Anolis sagrei: one gene and its partner. Each later gene encodes a partner of the first gene's protein in a complex. Links are inferred from orthologs where the notes say so. Each region holds a gene or a part of one and is shown in the gene's direction. Other genes may lie near its edges.

Evidence for each region.
Region 2: the proteins of DBF4 (region 1) and CDC7 are in contact, whole or in part, in a crystal structure (PDB 6YA8), measured with the Homo sapiens proteins. The link is inferred for Anolis sagrei from reciprocal best matches to the Homo sapiens genes DBF4 and CDC7. Residues at the interface, in NP_006707.1 of Homo sapiens: Thr210, Arg211, Thr212, Gly213, Arg214, Leu215, Lys217, Pro218, Phe219, Val220, Lys221, Val222, Glu223, Asp224, Met225, Ser226, Gln227, Leu228, Tyr229, Arg230, Pro231, Phe232, Tyr233, Leu234, Leu236, Met239, Pro240, Ile242, Asn243, Tyr244; in NP_001127891.1 of Homo sapiens: Asn56, Val57, Phe58, Ala77, Gln78, Leu79, Gln80, Ile87, Ile93, Pro94, Thr95, Ser96, His97, Pro98, Ile99, Arg100, Ile101, Ala102, Leu105, Gln106, Thr109, Lys121, Tyr122, Cys123, Phe124, Arg125, Asn127, Asp128, Val130, Leu143.

Annotation. Positions count from the first base shown.
Region 1 is NC_090026.1:104,609,493-104,622,035, reverse strand, and holds the start of DBF4 (protein DBF4 homolog A), read left to right. Parts: upstream 1-7,506; 5' UTR 7,507-7,671; intron 7,672-7,874; 5' UTR 7,875-7,933; coding exon 7,934-7,979; intron 7,980-12,543. Other genes in the region: mitochondrial glutathione transporter SLC25A40, read right to left, coding at 378-445, 1,213-1,319, 1,987-2,046, 3,511-3,607. UniProt on the Homo sapiens protein: Regulatory subunit for CDC7 which activates its kinase activity thereby playing a central role in DNA replication and cell proliferation. Required for progression of S phase.
Region 2 is NC_090024.1:150,718,731-150,730,682, reverse strand, and holds the start of CDC7 (cell division cycle 7-related protein kinase), read left to right. Parts: upstream 1-5,752; 5' UTR 5,753-5,861; intron 5,862-7,937; 5' UTR 7,938-7,948; coding exon 7,949-8,033; intron 8,034-11,952. UniProt on the Homo sapiens protein: Kinase involved in initiation of DNA replication. Phosphorylates critical substrates that regulate the G1/S phase transition and initiation of DNA replication, such as MCM proteins and CLASPIN.

The DNA of each region.
Region 1 (12,543 bases):
TAGCTACTCACAGGCCTCTTTTAGAATATTACATATTACAGTGTTATATAAGATTCATTTTCTCCAATCCCTGTCTAAAAACATATGACATAAAAAACAACAGTTAAAAACAGTGAACAATAACCTATGGCGACAAGCTCTCCGAAGAGGACTTGAAGCGGCTTAACATAAAAATATTAATATATGATTTAATATATACAAAAATTCAAACACTAAAATAGAATTAAACACAAGCAGCATTACAAAATTAAGTTAAAATCCATCAAAACGAGTTAAAAACCACAGCACTCCCTGACTAGATTTTAGACACCTTCATCTTTAAAAGTCTGCCTGAATAAAAAGGTTTTATAGTAATAGCCTGAAATCTATGCACTTACAATGATGGAGGCAATCCACTCCACAGTGATTTCACCCCCTCTCTTTGAACAATTTTCACAAAAGCATCCTGAAAGGCCAGACATGCAAACAGAAGAAGTTATCCATTCCTATAAATCTAATCCAGTGGTCTGGAAGATATAAGGTGATAGTTTAAAAACTGCACAAAAGATTACTCTGCAATAAAATTTCACACAAAAATACTATAATCTTCTAAAAAAATATACAAAGGCCTTAAAATGAAATCCTTCTCCTTTAAAGGTGACGTACTAAATGAATCATAAGTATTACACAGTCACTAGCATAGTGACATGAAAGGTAAAGAATCTTGGTGTTTTCAAAAATGATACTCATTGTTGCCCCTTCATGTAAAATACATTGCTAGGTTAAATCTGATGCTTACATGACTACCAGAGACTAATCTAGTATCCAATATCCATTTTGGAAATGGGTTTAACTTCAATGTTCCTGACTATAACATTTCTCTATTTCTGTCTCTTCTCGTTCTTGGAACAATTTAGCGCAATTAAGTGGTTGGTGGAATTGTTGTGGAATTTTAGTTGGTCGGAAATGTACTATTGGCTAATTGTGCACTTGTTTCTTGCTCTTATTCCCTTGTGCATAAGTCCACTTTTATCATAAGAAGTTTTATGATTTGCTCCTTTGAAAAGAGGAAATATTTAAAAAATGTAAGGGGACTTAAATTATGATTCTCATTATTGTGAAATAAAAACCACTCTGAATTTACATAACAGCATTTTAAAATAAAAACTGGGCAATAGTTTGTTGAGTTTTAAGGGCCAATATTCTTTGGATTGGATATGCTTTTCTCCTTACCATCATGCCATTAAAACGGCCAGCTGTCCTTTGCCAAGTTTTGCCACTTCCGTTTTCATAGAGATAAACATGATCGGTCAAGCCATCAGAATCTAAAAATGACTTTCCTGTTTTAAAAAAAGGTGAAAAATAAACTGTGATTCTTTTAAAGATGAGTGGAAGAAACCTGGAATAAAGTGTAATTTCTTATTTATTTTTGTCACTTTAAGCTCTTTAAAACGTGTGTCTTTTCCTTCTAAATTAACAATATTACAAATGCAAAACTAGATAGGTAGAGGTTATCCCTGACATTAAGTCCAGTTGTGTCTGATTCTCGGGGTTGGTGCTCATTTCCATTTCTAAGTCGAAGAGCCGGCGTTGTCCGTAGACACCTCCAAGGTTATGTGGCTGGCATGTCTGCATGGAGCACCGTTACCTTCCAGCCGGAGCAGTACCTATTGATCTAATCACATTTGCATGTTTTCGAACTGCTAGGTTGGCAGAGGCTGGGGCTAACAGCAGAAGCTCACCCCACTCCCCGGATTTCAACCGGCAACCTTTCGGTCAGCAAGTTCAGCAGCTCAGTGGTTTAACCCACTGCACCATAGATAAATTGTTACTATTAATGGTTTTAAAAGCTATTAACTCAATATCACATTTCACTGCTCATAGACTCGAGTGCAGTAAAGCTCCCATCCTTCCCCTCATACTAACACTGACATATATTACCAAAACACATGGAAGAACAAGCATCTTCCTCCTTCCCATACCACAAATGTAGAGCTATAGATTTACCTTTGAGAGACGGATTCATCTGGACTTGCATCCGAACTTTGACAACATCTAGGGGTGTCACTAAGGCAAACAAACAAACCATCAAATGGAAAACATTCTAAACACTCTAAATGTGGTCAATGGTTTCAAGAGCAAAAGTTTTAAAAAACAACACACATAATAATGTGTTCATTTGTGCTCCAGAAGGTAAAATTAGAATCATATAGAATCACAGAGTTGGAAGAGACCTCGTGGGCCATCCAGTCCAACCTCCTACCAAAAAGCAGGAAAATGGTATTCAAAGCACCCCTGACAGATGGCCATCCAGCCTCTGTCTAAAAGCCTTCAAAAAAGGAGCCTCCACCACACTCCAGGGCAGAGAGTTCCACTGCTGAACAGCTCTCACAGTTAGGAAGTTATTCCTAATGTTCAGGTGGAATCTCCTTTCCTGTAGTTTGGAGCCAGGGCAGCAGAAAAGAAGCTTGCTCCCTCCTCCCTATGACTTCTCCTCTCATATTTTATACGTGGCCCTCATAATGTCTCCTTCCAGCCTTCTCTTCTGCAGGCTAAACATGCCCAGCTCTTTAAGCTGCTCCTCATAGGGCTTGTTCTCCAGACCCTTGATCATTTTAGTCACACTCCTCTGGACACATTCCAGCTTGTCAACATCTCCCTTAAATTGTGGTGCCCAGATAGAATGGGCTTTAAGTATAGGGGAATAAATGTTAGTGGAACCTGAGATGCCTCTTGATTGTACAAATATTTTGAGAATGGGACTTGGAAGAAAGACTATCCCTTGCTCAAGGTTGTTAAGCTTGCTGGGTATGTTCCATTCAGGATTTCCTATACTAAGTAGGGGATTAGAAGAGATGGCCTACAAAGTCCTTCTCTAATGCCGTGAGTCTCGATGTAATAGGCTTTGGATTTATTATGAAAGTACAATTATATTTGCTAGGAATCAGAATACAAATGGAGTAAGGCACAAATATAGTTTCCAACCTATTTGTTTCTAATCTTGAATCATGAGAGGTTTTTATTTTTCATTTGACTTAAAGAGGATTCACCATTATTAACAATGCACAAAGTGAAAATCCCCACAGGGGATGGATTAAAAGGCATTTTGCAAATCTCTGCAAACTACAGATTATTGCTCATCACACTTCCTGGTGTTTAAAAAATCAGGCTAATTCAATGTTTGTATTATTTGGTGTCCAGTTTGTATTTTCTTTCCTAATAAGGGACACTGTGGCTTCCAGTTGTTGTATCTTCCATTACTTGTCCCTTTTTGGCTGCTGTCTTAGCACTGGCTTCACGGGATATTTTCAGATTTCCGTGGCCATCTTACCCTTCCAGTGAGGAGTATCTCAATATCTATTTGTGACTACTGGGTTACAATCCTAAACACATTTGCTGGAGAGAAAGCTCTACTGAACCCAGTGGGACATGCCTATAATAGGATCATTATCTCATTTTTAGAATATGCCTGTTAAAAATAACACTGACATATTAACAGTGTGCTAAGTGACCTCAATTGTCTTTTCTTACCCAAAACTGAAGTAATAAGAGCACCACAACAAGAACAGACTGCTTGCTGAGACGTTGTAATGCTGTATAATCCATCTTCTTTCTCTTCAGAACCCATAATTTATTCCTTGAGAAGCATAACCTGATTAAAAAAAATCAATATATATATATGTGTGTGTGTGTTTGTGTAGACTCTATTAATTGGAATTCAAGCAAATGAAATTATCAAGCAACCAGCAAAAGTTTACTGGCTACCATTTCACAAAATTTGCATACTGCATTCACAAAGCTTTTTTATAGAACAGTGAAGCTGTGTTAAATTAGTTAGGTTTCTCTCTTTGCATTCAATTACGGTACTTCAATATTAACAAGTCAATACAGAGTTTTTGGTGTGATATAGTATGGGGTACAGTATTAATTAGGTTTATTTTAACAGTAACTCTCAGACAACCAGAAACTACATTTATTAGGCATCTGCCAATACTCCTTAAGTGCTGATTAACTTGGAATCTATGTATACATACACATAAGCCATTTGTAAGCCGCCCTGAATCCCCCCTCGGGAGTTGAGAAGGGTGGGATAGAAATACTGAAAATAAATAAATAAATATACACACATATGTGTCTGTACACTCCCCACCTAAATGGTTTATCACTCATTTAGGTGAATTTGAAAGGAAAAGTTCTCTCTGAAACATCTGAATATGAGTTACTTTCTCAACCTAATGATTATTCTCATTGTGTATAAAAACGGCCCAAGAAAAATCAAGCGTATCCCATAATATCAAGAGATAGAGAATACAGTCTGTCCTTTTATTTTATTGAGATTGGCCACTGCTCTCCTACTGATTTCCTGGCTGTAGTGAAAAGTTTGCCCTTGACATTAAGTCTAGTCGTGTCCAACTTTGGGGCCTGGAGCTCATCTCCATTTCTAAGCTGAAGAGCCAGTGTTGTCCGTAGATGCTTCCAAGCTCATGTGGCCTGCATGACTGCATGAAGTGCTGTTACCTTCCTGCCAGAGTGGTACCTATTGATCTACTCAAATTTGCATGTTTTGAACTGCTAGGTTGGCAGAAACTGGGCCTAATAGCTGAAGCTCACCCTGCTCTCCGGATTCGAACCTCTGACCTTTCGGTTAGCAAGTTCAGCAGTGCAGTGGTTTAACCTACTGTGCCGCCAGGGGACCTACACATAGATACATAGCGATATATATATATATATAGAGAGAGAGAGAGAGAGAGAGAGAGAGATGAAGTCCAAGTATAAACAATACATTCATTTATCTCTGATAGACACCATACACACCAGGCATTGTGGGTGTTGAAAGTCCAGAACACCTGGAGGGCCCAAGTTTGCCCAGGCCAGATATATATCTTGTGAGATACCTTGAAATGAGATCCAGGTCTAAATACTACATTAATGTATCTTTCATAGACACCACACACAGATACATTGCCATATAGATATTATCTATCTATCTATCTATCTATCTATCCATCCTTGGAGATGAAACTCAAGTGTAAACAATACATTCAGGTCTAAATATTACATAAATCTATCTTTCATAGACACCATACACACATATAGATACATTGCCATATATATGCTATACAAAACCTTGGAGATGAAACTCAAGTGTTAATTATACATTCAGGTCTAAATACTAGACCGGGATTGTGGCACAGCTGGCTGAGTGTCAGCTGCATTAAGATCACTCTGACCAAAAGGTCATGAGTTCGAAGCCAGCCCGGGTTGGAGTGGGTTTCCAACCAATTGTGTGTAGCCTGTTGTCGACCTTTGCAACTCGAAAGACAGTTGCATCTGTCAAGTAGGAAAATTAGGTACCACCTTAAAGTGTGGGGAGGCTAAATTAACTGATTTATGAGGCCATAAAGAAGACTCCAGCAAAGCATTCCAGCGGGGAAGCATGCAGGGAATGCGGAAGTGCTTCATCAGCGTCGCAGATGGACGATGAAAGCGACAGCTCCCCTGGCGGCCAGAAAAAAAGTTAAATAGCCTCTGTGTATGTCTGAGTCAATATAAACGTACCTTTCAAACTGCTAACTACCTAAAAATGCAAATACCAAAACATCACTCGAGCCAGATTTGATCAGCTCGAGACAATGGTTAGATACAGGAGATTTAACAGCATCCCTTATAATGAACGAAGTTGTATCTGCGGGACACCTGAAATTGAGGATATAGCACACATATTTTTTGATTGCAAATTGTATCAAAAGGTGAGAGACTTCCACCTTGGTCCATATATCAAACGGACAATGTATTGGGATTCTCACATCAGAACAACATATTTTATGTGTGGCCAAGACCCAGAAATAACATATAAAACAGCTCTGTACTTAGGCAAAACAATACGTCTGAGAACCACATATGTAGGGCTGATTGGGGTAAATTGTAGGGGTGATAATGAAATATGATGTATATACTCAGCTTGATCAGTTTTATCATGTCTTATCATATGTATTTACTGTATTATTATAAGTGTCTTATTTTAACTTTCTACGTGGAGTGTGATCAGGTCTTGTCAGGCCTTGTTGTTCTGTTTCTTATTGTGATATAGCCTAATGGCTAATCAATAAAATTACTACTGCTACTACTCTGTGTATGTCTGTATATGTTTGTATGTCAAAAATTGGCATTGAATGTTTGCCATATATGTGTACACTGTAATCCGCCCTGAGTCCCCTGCGGGGTGAGAAGGGCGGAATATAAAAGTTGTAAATAAATAAATAAATATTTTATAGACATCACACACACACACATTAGCATATCTATGCTACATATAACCTTGGAGATGAAACCCAAGTGTAAACAATACATTCATTATGTATCTCTGCCTATGAACCCACCAGGACTTTAAGATCCTCTGGGGAGGCCCTGCTCTCGATCCCGCCTGCATCACAGGCACGTTTGGCGGGGACGAGGGACAGGGCCTTCTCAGTGGTGGCCCCTCGGCTGTGGAACGCCCTTCCCATGGACATTAGATCAGCCCCCTCGTTAATGGTGTTTCGAAGAAAACTGAAAACCTGGCTATTTGAACAGGCGTTCGGAGAAGCAGTGCAATGAATATAGGAAAACGGAATTACGGATGACGAGTTGGATCACGATTCTAGTTACGAGATGTTAATGTGTTGTTTATTGATGTTAATCATTTAGTATACTACGGTGTTAATTGTTTTTAAATAGTGTATGTTGTTAGAGCCCCCGGTGACGCAGTGGGTTAAAGCACTGAGCTGCTGAGCTTGTTGATCGAAAGGTCGCAGGTTCGATTCCGGGGAGCGGCGTGAGCTTCCGCTGTCAGCCCTAGCTTCTGCCAACCTAGCAGTTCGAAAACATGCAAATGTAAGTAGATCAATAGGTACCGCTCCGGCGGGAAGGTAATGGCGCTCCATGCAGTCATGCCGGCCACATGACCTTGGAGGTGTCTACGGACAACGGCTTAGAAATGGAGATGAGCACCACACCCCAGAGTCAGACATGACTGGACTTAATGTCAGGGGACTACCTTTACCTTTACCTATGTTGTTAGCACTGAATTTTTGCTCTTGTTGTTAACCGCGTTGAGTCGCCTATGAGCTGAGAAACTGCGGTATACAAATAAAGTAAATAAATCAATAAAATTAATCTTTCATGGGCACCATACACACCAGGCATTGTGGGAGGGCCCAAGTTTGCCAAGGCCTGCTGTATATGCTCATATACAGGTAAACATGCCAACATCCCAAGTGTATCCCAAGTCCCAAACATTACTGGAGCATTTTGGATATGAGGGATTCCTCCACTTCAGGGGCGGCCAAGAGAAGGGTTACCTGGGCAACTGAGAGGGAGAGGAGCCGGGCGAGGAGGCCTCTGAGAGGCGAGGCTCCTCCTCTTCCTCGCCGCCCTCCTCCTCCTCCTCCTCCTGGGCCTTGAATTCAGCCCAACCAGAGCGCCAGGCCCCGCCTCGGAGGCTGCTGGTAGGCCCAGCCCGAGCGAGGCGGGAAAGGCGAGGCGCCGAATGGCCGAGCGGCGGAGCAGAATCCCCTCAGCGGCAGCGGCGGCGGCGCCATGAGGCTGAGGTGACGCCGCTTTCAAACGCCAACCGCCCCTCCGCCGCCGCCGGGAAGCGCGGGGCTGGAACGGGCGCCTCACACCAGGCGCTGCCCCCGGGGAGAAGGCAACGTAAGGCCCGGGGCGGGGCGGAGGCCTGAGGGGGGGGGGCGCAGCAGGGCTTGGAGGCGGCGGCGGCGGCAGAGAAGTTGCCCCGTTCTTTAAATGGACACCCCGCCTCCCCCCACTGAGTATTTCATTCTTCTTCAATCCTCTCCCCCATATTCAAGCCTTCTCAAGTGTGTTCATGAGAATCTCTTTCCTTTTCCTTTCAGGTCGCAACTAACCGTCGCAGGGAAGTGGGCCGAGAAGAAGATGTGACTTCCCAGGAAAAATGAAACCAAGTGGTTTGAAAAGCAGCAGCAAAGGACAGTTCCCCTGTAAGTGTGGTTGGGGCCTTCCTTCCTTCCTTCCTTCCTTCCTTTCTGCTATTCAATATCCCCTTCCACACAGCTGTATCAAACCACACATTACTATTATTATGTTACCGACACAAAGTAGTAGTAAAGTTTATTACGGTCGAAGACCAGATCACAACATGGGGACCCAGTCCCGTACATTCACATCAAACCCAAGGGGTTGTACACTTTAAACTTCAACAAATTTTAAAATCGAAACTAAAAACCAATACTGGTCCAACGGGCAGCAGCCAGGATGTTAACTGGGGCTCATTACAGAGAGAGGTTCAAGGAGTTCCACTGGCTGCCGTTTATTTTCTGAGCCCAATTTAAGGTGCAGGTGCTTACCTACAAAGCCCTAAACGGTTTGGGACCATCCTACCTGCGTGACCGTATCTCCGTTTACGAACCCACGCGCTCACTTCAGTCATCCGGAGAGGCCCTGCTCGTGATCCCGCCAGCGTCGTAGCCGTGTTTGGTGGGGACGCGAGACAGGGCCTTTTCTGTGGTGGCCCCCCGACTCTGGAACACACTCCCAAAAGATCTTAGATAGGCCCCTACATTGGCAGTCTTTAGAAAGAACTTGAAAACCTGGCTGTTCCGATGTGCCTTTCCAGAATAGGAACCTCCAATAACAAGTCCCAGAACTAAGATTGCTGCACACTGCACTTAACTTACCCTATAATCCTTACATATCACCTGTCACATCAGCACTTTTAATCCTGTACCCATTACTCTGGCCCGGCCCAGTTTTATAGTGTCTTGATGTATTGTTTATTGCTTGTTGTTTAATATTTGCTTTAATTGTTTTTAATTTGCTTTAGGTGTTGTATTGTTATGTTGTGTTTTGAGGCCTTGGCCTTTGTAAGCCGCATTGAGTCCTTCGGGAGATGCTAGCAGGGTACAAATAAAGTTAATAATAATAATAATAATAGTTATTAAAACCTAACTTAACCCACAAGTTCATCCAACGCAGTCTAAAGAGAGGTAGTGGGGATGGCACCAGGGAGTGGGGGAATATCCAACTCTATAATATCAGACTATATCTGATTTCTCATCTATATTCCAGAGGAGAAGCTTAGGTCTTTTAACCCTCAATCATCGTCCGCCGAATTTTAATTGCAGCCGTGCAGAACTTAGCGATGTTGTACGTCACAGCCGAGTTTGTGTCTGAGATCAGCAGATCTACATAGAATTGTCCAGAGCATCCTGGATATTTAATTGTACATGGTAAGATGAGATGAGATCGAATGTCTCTATAAAACAGGCACTGGAGAAGCACGTACTGACACAAAAGCACAGTATGTCACAGCAAACGAGATCTGTATGCTGGATTTCGTATCACAAAATCACAAGTCTAACACTTCCCAAGCGTCTAGGACTGTGTGATTTATTTTCGAATGATGTGCACAGATCCAAGTAAGGTGGCCTTTTGCAGCTGACAGATCGTGATTTTGTCAATGTTTATTGTTTCCAAATGCTGGCTCAGATCTTTTGGCACGGCACTCAGTGTTCCGATGACCACTGGGACCACCTGTACTGAATTATGCCAAAGCCTTTGCAGTTTGATTTTGAGGTCTTGATAGAGGTTTTCCTGTTGTTTTTCCTCAATGCGACGGTCATCTGGTATGGCGACATCAATAATCCAGACTTTTTTCTTTTCCACAATCATGATGTCTGGTGCATTGTGTTCCAAAACTTTGTCAGTCTGGATTTGAAAGTCCCACAGTATTTTTGCATGTTCATTTTCCATGACCTTTGCGGGTTTATGATCCCACCAATTCTTTATTGCTGGCAGGTGGTACTTGTGACATAAGTTCTGGTGAATCATCTGGGCCACAGAGTTGTGTCTTTGTTTATAGTCTGTGTGATTTTCTTGTAACAGCTGAGGTTTCATCAGCTTTTTGGGTAATCTGGTTTTTTTTTTCCAACCCTGGCCTTAATTGCATTGCTTCTGATGGCTTGCTCCTGGGCTGCAAGAATTGGGCCTTCCGTCTCCTTCTTCAGTGTTCCATTCATGAGCCATAACCAGGTCTTCTCCTTGACAACTTTTCCTTCAATCTTCTCAAGGAACTGCCCATCCAAGGCTTTATTGTGCCAGCTGTCAGCTCTGGTTTGGAGTGCAGTTATCTTGTACTGACTCTATGTCTGCTGTGCTTTGAGAAGTTTCCGATTATTGATTTCAATTAAAGCAGGTTCTTGGTTCTGTATCAAACCACACATCATCATTATTATTATTATTATTATTATTTCCAATATTTATATTCTGCCCTTTTCACCCCGCAGGGGACTCAGGGCAGATTACAATTCACATATACATGGCAAACATTCAATGTCATTTAGCCAGACTACATATATACACAGACATAGAGGCAATTTAACATTCCAGCTTTCTGGCTTCATGAGGGTATGTTCGATTCTAGCCACTTCACCATCCACTTGTGTTCCTTTGATGGAGTTCGTCCTCATTCTTACGCACACTGCTGGAAGATATTATGGCATTGCAAATTAGTTAAATTGGCCTCCTAAATTCCTCCTTGACAGCTACAACTGTCTTTCGGGCTGCATAGGTTGACAGCAAGCTAGACTATTAATGGTCAGGAGCTTACTCTGACCCAGGCTGGCTTTGAACTCATGACCTATCGGTCAGTGGTGATTTAATGCAGCTGGCTACTAACTAGCTGTGCCACTGGATTCTATGGCAGTATGGACTCCCAGTTCTTCCCTGCTGATTGAACTGGGGCCCCTTCCACACAGCTGAATAAAATCCCACATTATCTGCTTTGAACTGGGATATCTGAATCCACACTGCCATATATCCCAGTTCAAAACAGATAGTGTGGGATTTTATTCAGCTGTGTGGAAGGGGCCCCAGTTCAAAGCAGATATTGTGGGATTTTCTGCCTTGATATTCTGGGTTGTATGGCTGCGTGGAAGGGCCCACAGCTATTAAAGACATCTGATGGGAAACTTGGGTCCCTTCCACACAGCCATATAATGCAGAATATCAAGGCAGATTTTGTTGTTGTTGTTTATTTGTTCAGTTGACTAGCCCACGCCAGAGCTCCCTGTCGGCCTTGGCCACCGCAGTTCCTTCAAGGTCAAGCCAGTCACTTTAAGGGGTTTTTTCCCCGTGTCAGGAGCGACTTGAGAAAGTCACTTTTGGTTTGAGAGAATTGGCCATCTGCAAGGACGTTGCCCATGGGACGCCTGAATGTTTTGATGTTTTATCATCCTTGTGGGAGGTTTCTCTCATGTCCCCACATGGGGAGCTAGAGCTGACAGAGGAAGCTCAATTGAGCTCTCTTCAGATTCGAGCTTCCAACCTGTCAGTCATCAGTCCTGCCGGCATAAGGGTTTAATCCACTGCGCTACCAGGGGCTCCACTTCAAGGATAACATCCACCCATCTTGCCCTTGGTTGGCTCCTCTTCCCTTTTCTTTCCATTTTCCCCAGCATCATTATCTTCTCCAAGAGTTTCCTGTCTTATCATGATGTGGCCAAAGTACTTCATCTTTGCCTCTAATACCCTTCCCTCCAGTAACAAGTCATGCATTATTTCCTGGAGTATGGACTGCTTTGATCTTGCGGTCCAAGGTACTCTCAGAATTTTCCTCCAACACCACAGTTCAAAAACTGTCTATCTTCCTTTTCTCAGCCTTCCTTGTTGTCCAGCTCTCAAATCCATAGGTTACTATGGGGAATACCATTGCTTTAACTATGCAGACCTAATTCATTTTAAATACATTTAAAATTGCATTTAAAAGCTAAATACCCCCAATTCCACCCATAACCTCCCCAACAGAAAATGTAACTCAAACTTTCCAAAAAGTTTGAGGCCCTCGACCTTTCAGAAGAGAACTGTTCGTAACAAAACCTGTTCTTCCCTGCCCGCAAATACACAACTGATGAATTTGCCTCTAATTTTCATTATTTACTCATAAATGAGGCAATGAATTGGAGCTGGAGGCATACAGGGATTTCACAAAATCCCTGTAGTTTTGTTCCAGTATCTTTGAGGATACCAAAATCTGAAAACTATGGCATGGTGAACTGTCAACCTTTACATAAAATGGCAAAATTAAGATGTTTCTGAATTAGGTTGTATGTTAGGGTGATTTAGTTTCTCTACAGAAAGTTCGCTGGGATATTTATCCAGCTGAAATGATCCTTAAGCAGTTTTCCATGATTTTTGTCACGCCTGTTGACTTTCGCTTTCCATTTCTGATATGAGGTCTTTGTTTTGCTGAGAGCCTGCTTGGAGCTTTTGATTGTTGTACTGGATCTCCTGGTGATCAAGTGTTAGGCATTCATGAGGAAACAGCAACATCAGCAATGGAGGAAAAACATGTTGCTGATGTCAGTTTTGAATTACACTGGCAGGAATATGGTCCACGATGCTTCGTGGTTTACACAATCACCATGCATACCAAGGAGAATTTGTTTGAACCATGGACTGTGAATCCCCTTGAGTCCCCTTCAGGGTAGAGAAAGGTGGTATACAAATACGGCAAATAAAATACATACATACATACATAAACAAGGA
Region 2 (11,952 bases), on another chromosome or scaffold:
TTTTGGCTGCGGCATCACACTTACAGGTTCAAGTTTAGCTTGTGGTCTACTAAGACCCCCATCTCCTTCTCACATGTACTGCTTTCAAGTCAGGCGCCAACCATTCTATATTTGTGGATTTCATTTTTCATGCTTAGATGTATACCTCACATTTATCACTTTTGAAATTCAGTGTATTAGTTTTGGCCTAACACTTCAACCTTTTTTAGCCTTATCAGATCGGGGTCCGAATTTGCATGTGTGCATATCCCTGAATCTTCCCACCATTATTCTTATTATTTAAATTGTTGGGTTGACAAGGAGCGCAAGGAACAGGAGGCTGTCACATAGCAATTATTCACATAGCTATTGTAACAATTCTTTATACCTGATTTAATGTCTTCAATATCATATTTTTAGAAATTCAGAAGAACACTTTATTCAAGTCATGACCTGAATGACTGAACATAAGGGTATGTAGCTATAAGCAACATTTGGCTATTTAAGGGAACACTGAATGAATTATATGTTTTTATTCCAGTCTACTTTGGGGTGTTTTAAATGGTTTTATCTGTTCCAGTTAATCTAAGGTTACTTAGGGCCTTTCCACACAGCCATATAACCCTGAATATCAAGACAGAAAGTCCCACAATATCTGCTTTGAACTGGGTTGTCTGAGTCCACACTGCCATATAACATTTTATTCAGCTGCGTGGAAGGGGCCTCAATGTTGTTGTTTGCTATTTATTGTTTGACTAACGTGGAATATTATTACATTTTCGCTTTTATTTACTAAGCCGCATTGAGCAGAGAAATTCTAAAAAGTGGAATAGATTCAAATACTGACTTCATATAATTTACCATATATCCCCTTTTCTTTCATAAAACGTCATGCAAAGTAACCTAGTAGACATTTGCAACAAAGAAAAGATACGCATTATGAATATTCTGAATAATTAAATACAGCATATTAAATACAACATATTATTGTATAATCTAATTGTCCTTTGATCACCATGCCTCAAAACCTATGGTAAATGCAAAGTGACACATAATTTACTTTGTTGAATCAGGTCCCTTCTACACTGCCATGCACAGTAATCCAGATTATCAAAGCATTATCCACATTATCTGCTTTGAACTGGATAATAAGAGTTTGCACTGCCTTATAATCCAGTTAAAAGCAGATAATCTGGATTTTATATGGCAGTGTAAAAGGGACCTATTTCTGAATCTACACTATCCTGTATCCCAGGATATGATCCCAGATTATCAAATTTGAACTGGTTAATATGAGGCCCCTTCCAATATTCCCCTTTGAGGAAAATCTCCACCGTTACCTTTTGCTCATGGAGGAGGGAAGATCAGCAGTATGTTGTGTTCCTTTCTGTCTGGTGCACTTTCTGGGTGCCTGCTTGCCTTCCTTCTTCCTTCCTTCCTTCCTTCCTTTTCTGCCTTGTGTATGCCATGTGTGACCTCTTCTTCTTTCCCTTCTTCCTTCTTCCAACACTGAAGGAAGGGAGTGCCCCCAGACACCACCTCCTTCCCCCCTCCTTTGGTTGACTCCAAGGGCCATCTAGTCCAACCCCCTTATTTCTGCGATGTAGCTAAAGCACCCCAGACAGATGGCCATCCTGCCTCTGAATAATAATAATAATAACAACAACAATAAAATAATAATAAAGAAAAGTTGTTCCTACTCTGTGTTACTTATTTAATTGTGTAGTCCTTACTTTGAAAGTAGTTGTTGCTCTCCAGAAACTTTGTTTTTGTGCACCCAAACTCTGGGCCCTTCCACACAGCCACATAACCCAGAATATCAAGCCATAAAATCCAACAAGGTCTGCTTTGAACTGAGTTATCTGAGTCCACACTGCCATATATTCCAGTTCAAAACTGTGTTGTCGCACGGTGGGCCTGTGCATTAGATTGTAGACAGGACATACATTCTGTGTGCCCAACGGGATGCTGGGGCTGCCTCAGATCAAAGGCCCTTAGATCCCCCCAAACAGAGTCTTTAGATTGCTTAAAGTAAATCCAACAAAGTTCTTTATTGATGGAAACAAACAGGTACTTTAAAGCTTTCTTAACAGTCTATTGGCTCTTGCAATCTTGTTCACTGGGAACAGGCACTATCTTCTTAACTGTAATTAACTAATGGGGAAATCCTTAACTTCTAATCTGGGCAGTTTGTACTTGCCTCTGTTGGCGTGTAGCCCCTGCACCCGGTACCAACTGCGTCTGGCTTCCGTGAGCGACCCTTACCAAGCAGAGCTTTGTAGACTTCCAGGGGAAAAGAAGGAGTTCAGGTTGCTGTGATGGCTGGCTGAAGTCCCTCCGCAAAGGAGCTGTAAGGCTGTAAAATCCTCAGCCAAGCTGTGGGGCCTTTTCTCCCCGGCCAAGCTGTAGGCTATATATCTCCCCGGCCAAGCCGTAGAAGACGAAGCTTTCTACAGGAGCTCTTGGAGTTATGTCCTGCATGGAAAGCTGCTCTGTGTGGACTGACTCAAAAAGGCTCCTATTCCCTCCAAAACTCAAAAAGGGGTGGGACCAGGGAACCTAACGATAATTGACAGGTGGCTTGCCCTATGATTGCAAACTATAACAGGAAGGCACCCTGCTGCAAAATCCCAAGCCTGGGATTGCAAACAAACATTTAATGCAAAAGCAAACAGAATTGGAGCTCCTGGTACAGTTGTACCTGCACAAAAACAGATGATGTGGGATTTTATTCAGCTGTGTGGAAGGGGCCTATGTTAAATGGGTGGAAACTCTACAACGTTTCTCAACCTGGGGGTCAGGACCCCTTGGGGGGGGGGGTCATGAGTGGGGTTTCAGAGGGGTCACCAAAGACCATTAGAAAATACATATTTCTGATGGTCTCAGAAACCCTTTTGGCAGAGAAGGCTAAAGATCTCTCCACCTGCCCTTCTATTCGTTTTTGATATTGGTGACCGACAACTCCCAGAATTCAGAAACAGCCCCCAAACCCCAACCCCACCAGTATTCAATGTTGGCCATGTAGGTAGTGTGCCAAGTTTGGTGCAGATCCATTGTGGACTGGGTTCAAAGTGCTCTTTTATTGTAGGTGAACTATAAATTCCAGCAACTACAACTCCCAAATGTCAAGGCCTACAATCGAAGAGCATTCTAAATCCCACCAACGATAGAATTGGGCCAAACTTCCAACACAGAACACCCATCACCAACAGAATATACTGCATTTTCTGATGGTCTTTGACAACCCCTTTGACACCCTCTCACGACCCCCACCCCTGGGGTCCCAACCCCCAGGTTGAGAAACACCGCTCTAGCAAGATGTCCCTCCTGCAAAATAAAAGTTTTTGCAGTTTAACAAACTTTTCCCATGTGTTTATGATAGAACCAATTAGGAAATGACATTGATAACCCAGGAACAAAAATAATAGTCCAGGAAAGATGTTTCTTGGGTTGTGGTAGATTTTTTGGGGTGTGTGGCCATGTTCTAGAGGTGTTTCAGATTGGACTATTGCAATGCGCTCTATGTGGGGCTGCCCTTGAAGATGGCCCGGAAACTCTAACTGGTACAACGGGTGGCAGCCAGGCTCCTTACTGGAGCAAACTATAGGGAGCATACTACGCCCCTTTTAAAACAGCTTCACTGACTGCCAATAAGTTGCCGAGCCAAATTCAAGGTGCAGGTTATGACCTATAAAGCCCTAAACAATTCGGGCCCCACCTATCTTCGTGATCGCATCTCCCTCTATGAGCCGTCGCAAACTAGGTTCCTGCGGGAGAAAACCTTGCTAGCAAGTCCCTGACGTCATGAGCCTGAGCCTCTCTCCCCGCCCCTTTCTCCGCCCCTTTCTCTTTGCCAGCGTGGTTTTTCCTTTGCTAGGGCAGCATTGCCCGCATTTTCTCTCAGTTGAATTCTGCCAACTGAGAGAAAATGCGGGCAATGCTGCCCTAGCAAAGGAAAAACCACGCTGGCAAAGAGAAAGGGGCGGAGAAAGGGGTGGGGAGAGAGGCGGAGTCTCGTGACGTCAGGGACATGCTAGCAAGGTTTTCTCCCCAGGAACAGAGTTTGCGACGGGCCTTAGAACCAATGCAAACTTTAAGATCTTCCAGGGAGGCCCTCGATTCGCTCCCACCACTGTCACAAGCATGGTTGGTGGGGATGAGAGAGAGGGCCTTCTCAGTGGTGGCCCCCTGCCTCTGGAACCCTCTTCCTGGAGAAATAAGACAGGCCCCGTTGCCCCCTCCTTTTGTAAGAGCCTGAAGACCTGGTGGTTTAAACAAACCTTTGAGAACGACTAGTTCTAGCTCTGCCCCAGACACTGTTGAAAGTGGCCATATCTTTTTCTACCAATTACCCAGGTCACTTTCTTCTATTAGGCCCTGGAAATGTACAGCCATAGACTCTACCTAATTTCCTCGGCCCACTAAAATCGCACTAGCCTGGCCTGGCTTTTTAAACTGCCTTGAACAGGCAGAATTATTTTAAATATATGTGCTATTGTGGTTTTTTAAGGCTCATATTGTCTTGGCATAATTTTATGTTTATACTGTTTTCTTTGTATGTATTGATTATGTTACTTGGAAACCGCTCTGAGTCCCCTTGGGGAGATAGAGCGGTATATAAATAAAGTTTTGTTGGGTTGTTGTAGGTTTTTCCGGGCTATATGGCCATGTTCTGGAGGCAATTTTTCTCCTGACGTTTCGCCTGCATCTATGGCAACATCCTCAGAGGTAGTGAGGTCTGTTGGAAGTAGGAAAATGGGTTTATATATCTGTGGAATGACCAGGGTGAGACAAAGGACCCCTGTCTGCTGGGGCAAGCTGTGAATGTTTCAGCTGATCACCTTGATTTGCATTCAATGGCCTGGAAGCGCCTGGGGGGAATCTCTTGTTGAGAGTGATTTTATGTGCCTGTTTGTTTCCCCTCTGTTGTTTTGCTGTTGTAATTTTTGAGTTTTGTAATACTGGTAGCCAGATTTTATTCATCTTCATGGTTTCCTCCTTTCTGTTGAAATTGTCCACATGCTTGTGGATTTCAATGGCTTCTCTGTGTAGTCTGACATGATGGTTGTTGGAGTGGTCCAGCATTTCTGTGTTCTCAAATAATATGCTGTGTCCAGGTTGGTTCATCAGGTGCTCTGCTATGGCTGACTTCTCTGGCTGAAGTAGTCTGCAGTGTCTTTCATGTTCCTTGATTCGTGTTTGGGCAATGCTGCGTTTGGTGGTCCCTATGTAGACTTGTCCACAGCTGCATGGTACACGGTAGACTCCTGCAGAGGTAAGAGGATCCCTCTTGTCCTTTGCTGAACGTAGCATTTGTTGGATTTTCTTGGTGGGTCTGTAAGTGGTTTGTATGTTGTGTTTCCTCATCAGTTTCCCTATGCGGTCAGTGGTTCCCTTGATGTATGGCAAGTTTTGTTGTTGTTTCTCACAAAGAAAACAGGGGAGGGACAGTGGGTTGAACGGCAAATAGACTGAGAACTCCTGAAAGAAACAGATAATTTGCTACTGTGCAATGGGATGGAGATGGGAAAAATCATCCCTTTAGTTTCAAAACGGAGCTGTATGGTAATCTACACTTCTAAAGACTTGACATGCTCATTGGGGTGAAGTCTCTATAGCCCAGAAAGCAGTTCCTTCACAAACTTCCTTGTAGAAGGGCCTTATTTGGAGCGTGGGAGGGAGGAGGAGGAGGCTGAGAGAGAAAGAGGCCTTGCTTGTCTTTGGCCGGCTGACAAGGCGGACTCCTCCCTCCGCGGCCGACAGGGGGCGCCGTTGCGACGGACAGCGCGGTTTTTTGGCGCCAAAGGAGGCGGAGAGTCAGCCGGAGAGGCGCCGTTGTTTGAAAGAAAGGGAAGCCACCGAGTGAGGAAGCGGGCGATCAAGTGAGTAAAAAAGCCGAGCAAAGAAGAGGAACGATGGGGGAAGAAGACAGGACAACTCTCCCTCGGAGTGGCGGGGTGTGGAGACCCGAGAAGCACTTTGCTGGGCCTCTCCTCCCCTTCCTCGCTTGAGCAGAGGCCTCTGTTTTCAGTGTTCCATACTATTTAGCACCATAACGAGCAGCCATGGGCAAACTTCAGCCCTCCAGGTGTTTTGGACTTCAACTCCCACAATTCCTAACAGCCGGTAGGCTGTTAAGAATTGTGAGAGTTGAAGTCCAAAACACCTGGAGGGCTGAAGTTTGCACATGCCCGATACAGAGTATATATAGCAACTTTTGAGAAAGTTGTTACAACATCGAAGGCCTTTTTGACTTTTGGCCCACTTTGTTTTAAGGCTCAGTCCTTCATAGCTCTAGGAATCAAAGCCTTAAAGGCACCAGGCCCCGTTTGGGAAGAGTTAAGCCATTTTGACATTACTGACGCCACTATGACTCAGTGCTAAGGAATTGTGGGAGTTGTCGTTTACAAAGACTAATCTTCTCTGCCAAAGAGTGCTAGTGCTTCATCACCAAACTACAAATCCCAGAATTGGGTAGCATTGAGATATGGGTGTTCAAGTGGTGCCAAACTATTAATTCTACATTATATATCAGGGAGTTGTAGTTTACAAAGACCTACATCTTCTCTGCCAAAGAGTGCTAGTGCTTCATCACCAAACTACAAATCCCAGAACTGGGTAGCATTGAGACATGGGAGTTCAATTTAATTCTACATTATAGATCAGGCATGGGCAAACTTCGGCCTTCCAGGTATTTTGGACTCCACCTCCCACAATTCCTAACAGCTTCAGACCTTTTCCTTTTCCCCCTCAGCCGCTTATGGGAGGAAAGGAAGGGGCCTGAGGCTGTTAGGAATTGTGGGAGTTGGAGTCCAAAACATCTGGAGAGCCAGAGTTTGCCAGTGCCTGTTGTGCCTTGCATTCTATTGAAGCCCAGTCCCCCTCCCAAGAGCGACAGAGCCTCACACCATATTTGTGTGTCTATTGACCACAGTTATTTATTTATTTATTTAAAACATTTATATTCCGCCCTTCTCACCCCGAAGGAGACTCAGAGCAGAGCACAGCATATACACGGCAAATTTTCAGGGCCTGGATACAATACATAAACATTAAAAAACATTTATCGAAATATTAAAACACACTATTTAAAATAACACCATTTAAAACCGTCCTAGCTATCCGCATCAAATCCAATTGGCCCTGTCATCTTTCCCATTGCCGCTTCATTGCCCTGTCCCGAAAGCTTGGTCCCACAGCCAAGTTTTTACCATCCTTCTAAAGGACAGGAGGGAGGGGGCCGACCTGATCTCACCAGGAAGGGAGTTCCATAGCCGGGGAGCAATCACCAAGAAGGCCCTGTCTCTCGCCCCCACCAATCGCGCCTGTGACAATGGTGGGACGAAAAGCAGGGCCTCCCCGGAGGATCTTAATCTCCGTGATGGTTCATAGGGGGAGATCCGTTCGGACAGGTAATTTGGGCCAGGGCCGTTTAGGGCTTTATAGGCCAAAGCCAGCACTTTGAATTGTGCCCGGTAGCAAACTGGCAGCCAGTGAAGTTGGCGTAACATGGGAGTTGTATGCTCCCTGTATGCCGCCCCAGTTATTAACCTGGCTGCCTCTTGTTGAACTATTTGAAGCTTCCGAGCAGTCTTCAAAGGCAACCCCACATAGAGTGTGTTGCAGTAGTCTATTCTAGACGTAACAAGAGCATGGACCACCGTGGCCAAGTCTGACTTCCCAAGGTACAGGCGCAGCTGGCGCACAAGTTTTAATTGTGCAAACGCTCCCCTGCAACCTGGGATTCCTTTTCTTGTCTTTTCTTGCTTGGAAACTCTCCAGGGGCTGGAGGATCAGCACGCGTCTATGGACCACTTTGCTGCCTTGTCTAACTAACCTTTATACAGTGTGCTGAGAGAAGGGAGCGAATTTCTTTCAGTGTGTTTAGACTTGAAAACTTGCATGTAAATCCAGAAGAGAATTTGACCCTGATTCTGAACTTCTGTGGCTGCTTTCAGGTAGCATTACAATGGAGGCAGCTCATCAGATTGAACATCCTCCCATGCACAGTGAAGACCCAAGTAAGAAATACAGCCAGAACAAGAAGCTATCAGGTACACACTTTAACACATCTTTCCTCCCTCCAAAATCTTGTAAATTCTTCCTTTCCTGTTATAAGGCCTCCACCTGTTTTCTTGGGACCCTTCCATACTCATATTTTGGCATAAGATACTTTAAAAACAAACTGTACTTTTTATTGATGATTTCATTTATGCGTTAGTATAGAAGAACTTGTAGCAAAGCGGGACATTTGGAATACTTGGTTGATTCAAATTTACAAGTTAATCCTTACTTTGGTTTATCAAAATATTTGCTTTTTAAAAATTCTTAATTGTATTCTGGGTTGATGGGAATGCCTTGGAGCTTAAAAAAATAATGAGTTGCAACAAATGTTTGTTGTCTGCTACTGGAAATGATAATTTTCTCCTCTCCCTGCACACCTTGTATGTCTGATCTGGAAGGCAGATAATAGTGGATCGCAGGAGAAGAGCAATGGAAGGCCCACAGTGTATGATCTATGATGTCAGACAGCTGACATAGATTTGGAAGAGACCTCGTGGGCCATCCAGTCCAACCCCCTGCCAAGAAAGTCACATTCAAAACACCCCTGACAGATGGCCATCCAGCCTCTGTTTAAAAGCCCCCAAAAAGGAGCCTCCACCACCGTCTTTGGCAGAGAGTGCTACTGGTGAACAGTTAGGAAGTTCTTCCTAATGTTCAGGTGGAATCTCCTTTCGTGTCATTTGAAGTCATTGCTCCACGCCCTAGTCTCCAGGGCAGCAGAAAACAGCCTGCTCCCTCCAACTTATGACTTCCTCTCACATATTTGTACATGGCCATCATTGTCTCCTCTCAGGCTTCTCTTTTGTAGGCTAAATATGCCCAGCTCTTTAAGCCGCTTCTCACAGGGCTTGTTCTCCAGACCCTTGATCATTTTAGTCGCCCTCCTCTGGACACATTCCAGCTTGTCAACATCTCCCTTAAATTGTAGTGCTCAGAATTGTACATAGTGTGATTCCAGGTGTGGTCTGACCAAGGCAGAAGAGAGGGATAGAATGACTTCCCTGGATCTAGACACTAGACTCCTGTTGATGCAGGCCAAAATCCCATTGTTTTTTTTAACTGCCGTGTGACATTGTTAGCTAATGTTTAACTTGTTGTCCATGAGGACTCCAAGATCTTTTTCACACATACTGCTGTTGAGTCAAGCGTCCCCCATTCCCAGGCATCATATTATAAAAATGAAATTATTCAAAGTTTTGAAAATGTTTGCCATGAAATAAGATTTGGGTCTGTTAGCAAAGCAGAGGTCTAGCCCCACCTGCTTGGTCTCACACTGTGAGAGCATAAAGTGCTCTCTAGTCATTGGTACATACGTGCCACAATTTTGGCTCATGCGCTGCTATCTCCTAATGTTCTCCTTTTCTTTTTGGTGTACCATTTCTCCTCCTTGCCCAACTCTAATTATTACTTCAACTTCTGTCCAGCTTGCTCAGGAGTAGCAGGAAATACATCTTTTATTATGGAGGCCACTCTCTGGAGTGAAGGGTCCAGTGTACCTCTCACATTTTTGAAAGCCTCTTACCCTACATAAGGCTTTGGTCATCACAGTGTTTTCCAGCAAAACTTTGGTGTGCTCCTTTGGCCAGTTGCCTTCAGGTTTGGATGGACCTGATATCATTGAAACACTTCATGCTTGATAGTGGAACAGCACAAGGACTGTTGTAACATCTTAGAAACTAATTCAGAGAAAGAAGCTTGTAGGATTGTTTTTCATCAGATGCTCTAAGGCCCTTCCACACAGCCATATAACCCAGAATATCAAGGTAGAAAACCCCAGAATATCTGCTTTGAACTGGAATATCTGAGTCCACACTGCCGTGTATCCCAGTTCAAAGCAGATAATATGGGATTTTATTCAGCTGTGTGGAAGGGGCCTAAGTGAAGTGTCTATGGATAGACATTTCTATCTATGAATAGTTAGAGTGTAATGACACAGACACACACTACCCCTTCATGGGCACAAATATTTGTCAACAAGCACTTCATTCTGTGCATCTGAGTAAGTAGTCCCTGTCTACAAAAGCTTACATGACAATCTTTTCCCTGTCATTTAGTCTCAAGACTGCTGTGGCGCAGTGGGTTAAACCCCTGTGCCGGCAGGCCTGAAGACTGACAGGTCACAGGTTCAAATCCGGAGAGAGGCGGATGAGCTCCCTCTATCAGCTCCAGCTCCCCATGCGGGGACATGAGAGAAGCCTCCCACAAGGATGATAAAACATCAAATCATCCGGGCGTCCCCTGGGCAACATCCTTGCAGACAGCCAATTCTCTCACACCAGAAGCAACTTGCAGTTTCTCAGGTCGCTCCTGACACGACAAAAAAAAAAGTCTTAAGAAAAATGTTACAAGATCCCTTTCTGTTCTGATCCAGATTAACATGGCTATGTCTTTAAAGGCCCACAGTTACTATACCTCTTTAGCCAAAACACTATTTGAGAAATGTAGTAGGGAATATTGTTCAATCTAAGTAAGGCGTCTTGCCTATGTTGTCTGAGTTTTTACAGGAAAATACAATATAACATCCTTCCTATGCCATCTAGTGATAGGTTTATGAAAAACAGCAACTAGTAAATTCTTGAAAAAAAATGTGTAGTTTCTGAATTCAGCATCTGCAATTGCTTTGTAAGCCTACTTTTTTCTCTGCCCCTTTTCTTATTTTATCTTATTTTTTAAATTCATTAAACACATTCACACCAAGCTAAAAGCAGCTAAACAAGAAAAAACACACTGCCAGAACATTTTCATTGCTCCATTGAAGTTAATATATTACAATAATCCCCCATTTTCATGGAGGTTAGAGACAGAACCCCTGCAAAAGAGGAAAAACTGAATTAAAAACCCTCTAGGACCTAGAGATTCCTAAATAAAACATATTAATCAAATCCACAAAGGTGAAACCCACAAATGTGGAGAGTCAACGGTACATTTATATGCTGTGAAAGGAGGAACTGACATTGTACTGTGATGTGTTGTAAATAAGAACAGGAACCTCAATACTGTAAAGACTTGAGCTGACGGAGCTTATCTGCCCAGATTCGAACCTCCGCGCTCTGCCCGGATGCGAACCTCCGACCTGTCGCTCTTCAGGTTCTGCCAGCAGAAGAGTAACCCATTGCACCACCAAGGTTCCTTACTGTGAATGTCTGATTCCTCATGGCATTTGTTGTTAGGTGTCAAGCCCACTTCAAATTATGGGGATCCTGTGAATAAGAGACCTCTAAATCATCCTCTCATCAACAGCCCTACGGATTCAGGACTGTGGCTTCTCTGATTTGTTCTCTCTATCTGGAATACAGTCTTTTTTCTACTTGCTTCCATTTTACCAAGCATTACCTCATTTCCTTATGAGTAATCTCTTTTCATGATACGGCCAAAGTACGTCAGCCTCAAAACTAACAATTTATTTTAACAATAATAATAACATTTATTTCTATCCCGCCCCGTCTCCCCAGGGGATTCTAGGTGGCTTACAACATAAATTAAGTGAAGTATGGTAAAATACATGCAGTAAAATAAATACTTAAGAACATGTGCAATCAATGTAACACATAAAATACATCATAACCAAATAACAAAATCAACAATAAGATTATAAGATTATATTAAATGTAGTCATCTTGGCTTCTAGGGAGAATTTAGACTTGAATTTCTCTAGGATTCATTTATTTGGCTTTTTAGCAGTCCACAGTACCTGCAGAACTTCTCTAGCACCATATTTCAAATGCACTGATTTTCTTCCTATCAGCTTTCTATGATAGCAAGGACCATCCTAACATTAGAATTCAGTGTTACATCTTTATGCTTCAGGATTTTGTCTGTTTCCTTCATAGTTACACTTCCTAGTTCCTCCGATTTATATAGTTTGGACAGGATATGTGGTTGCAAGTGTTGTTGTTTTTTTTCAAGTAA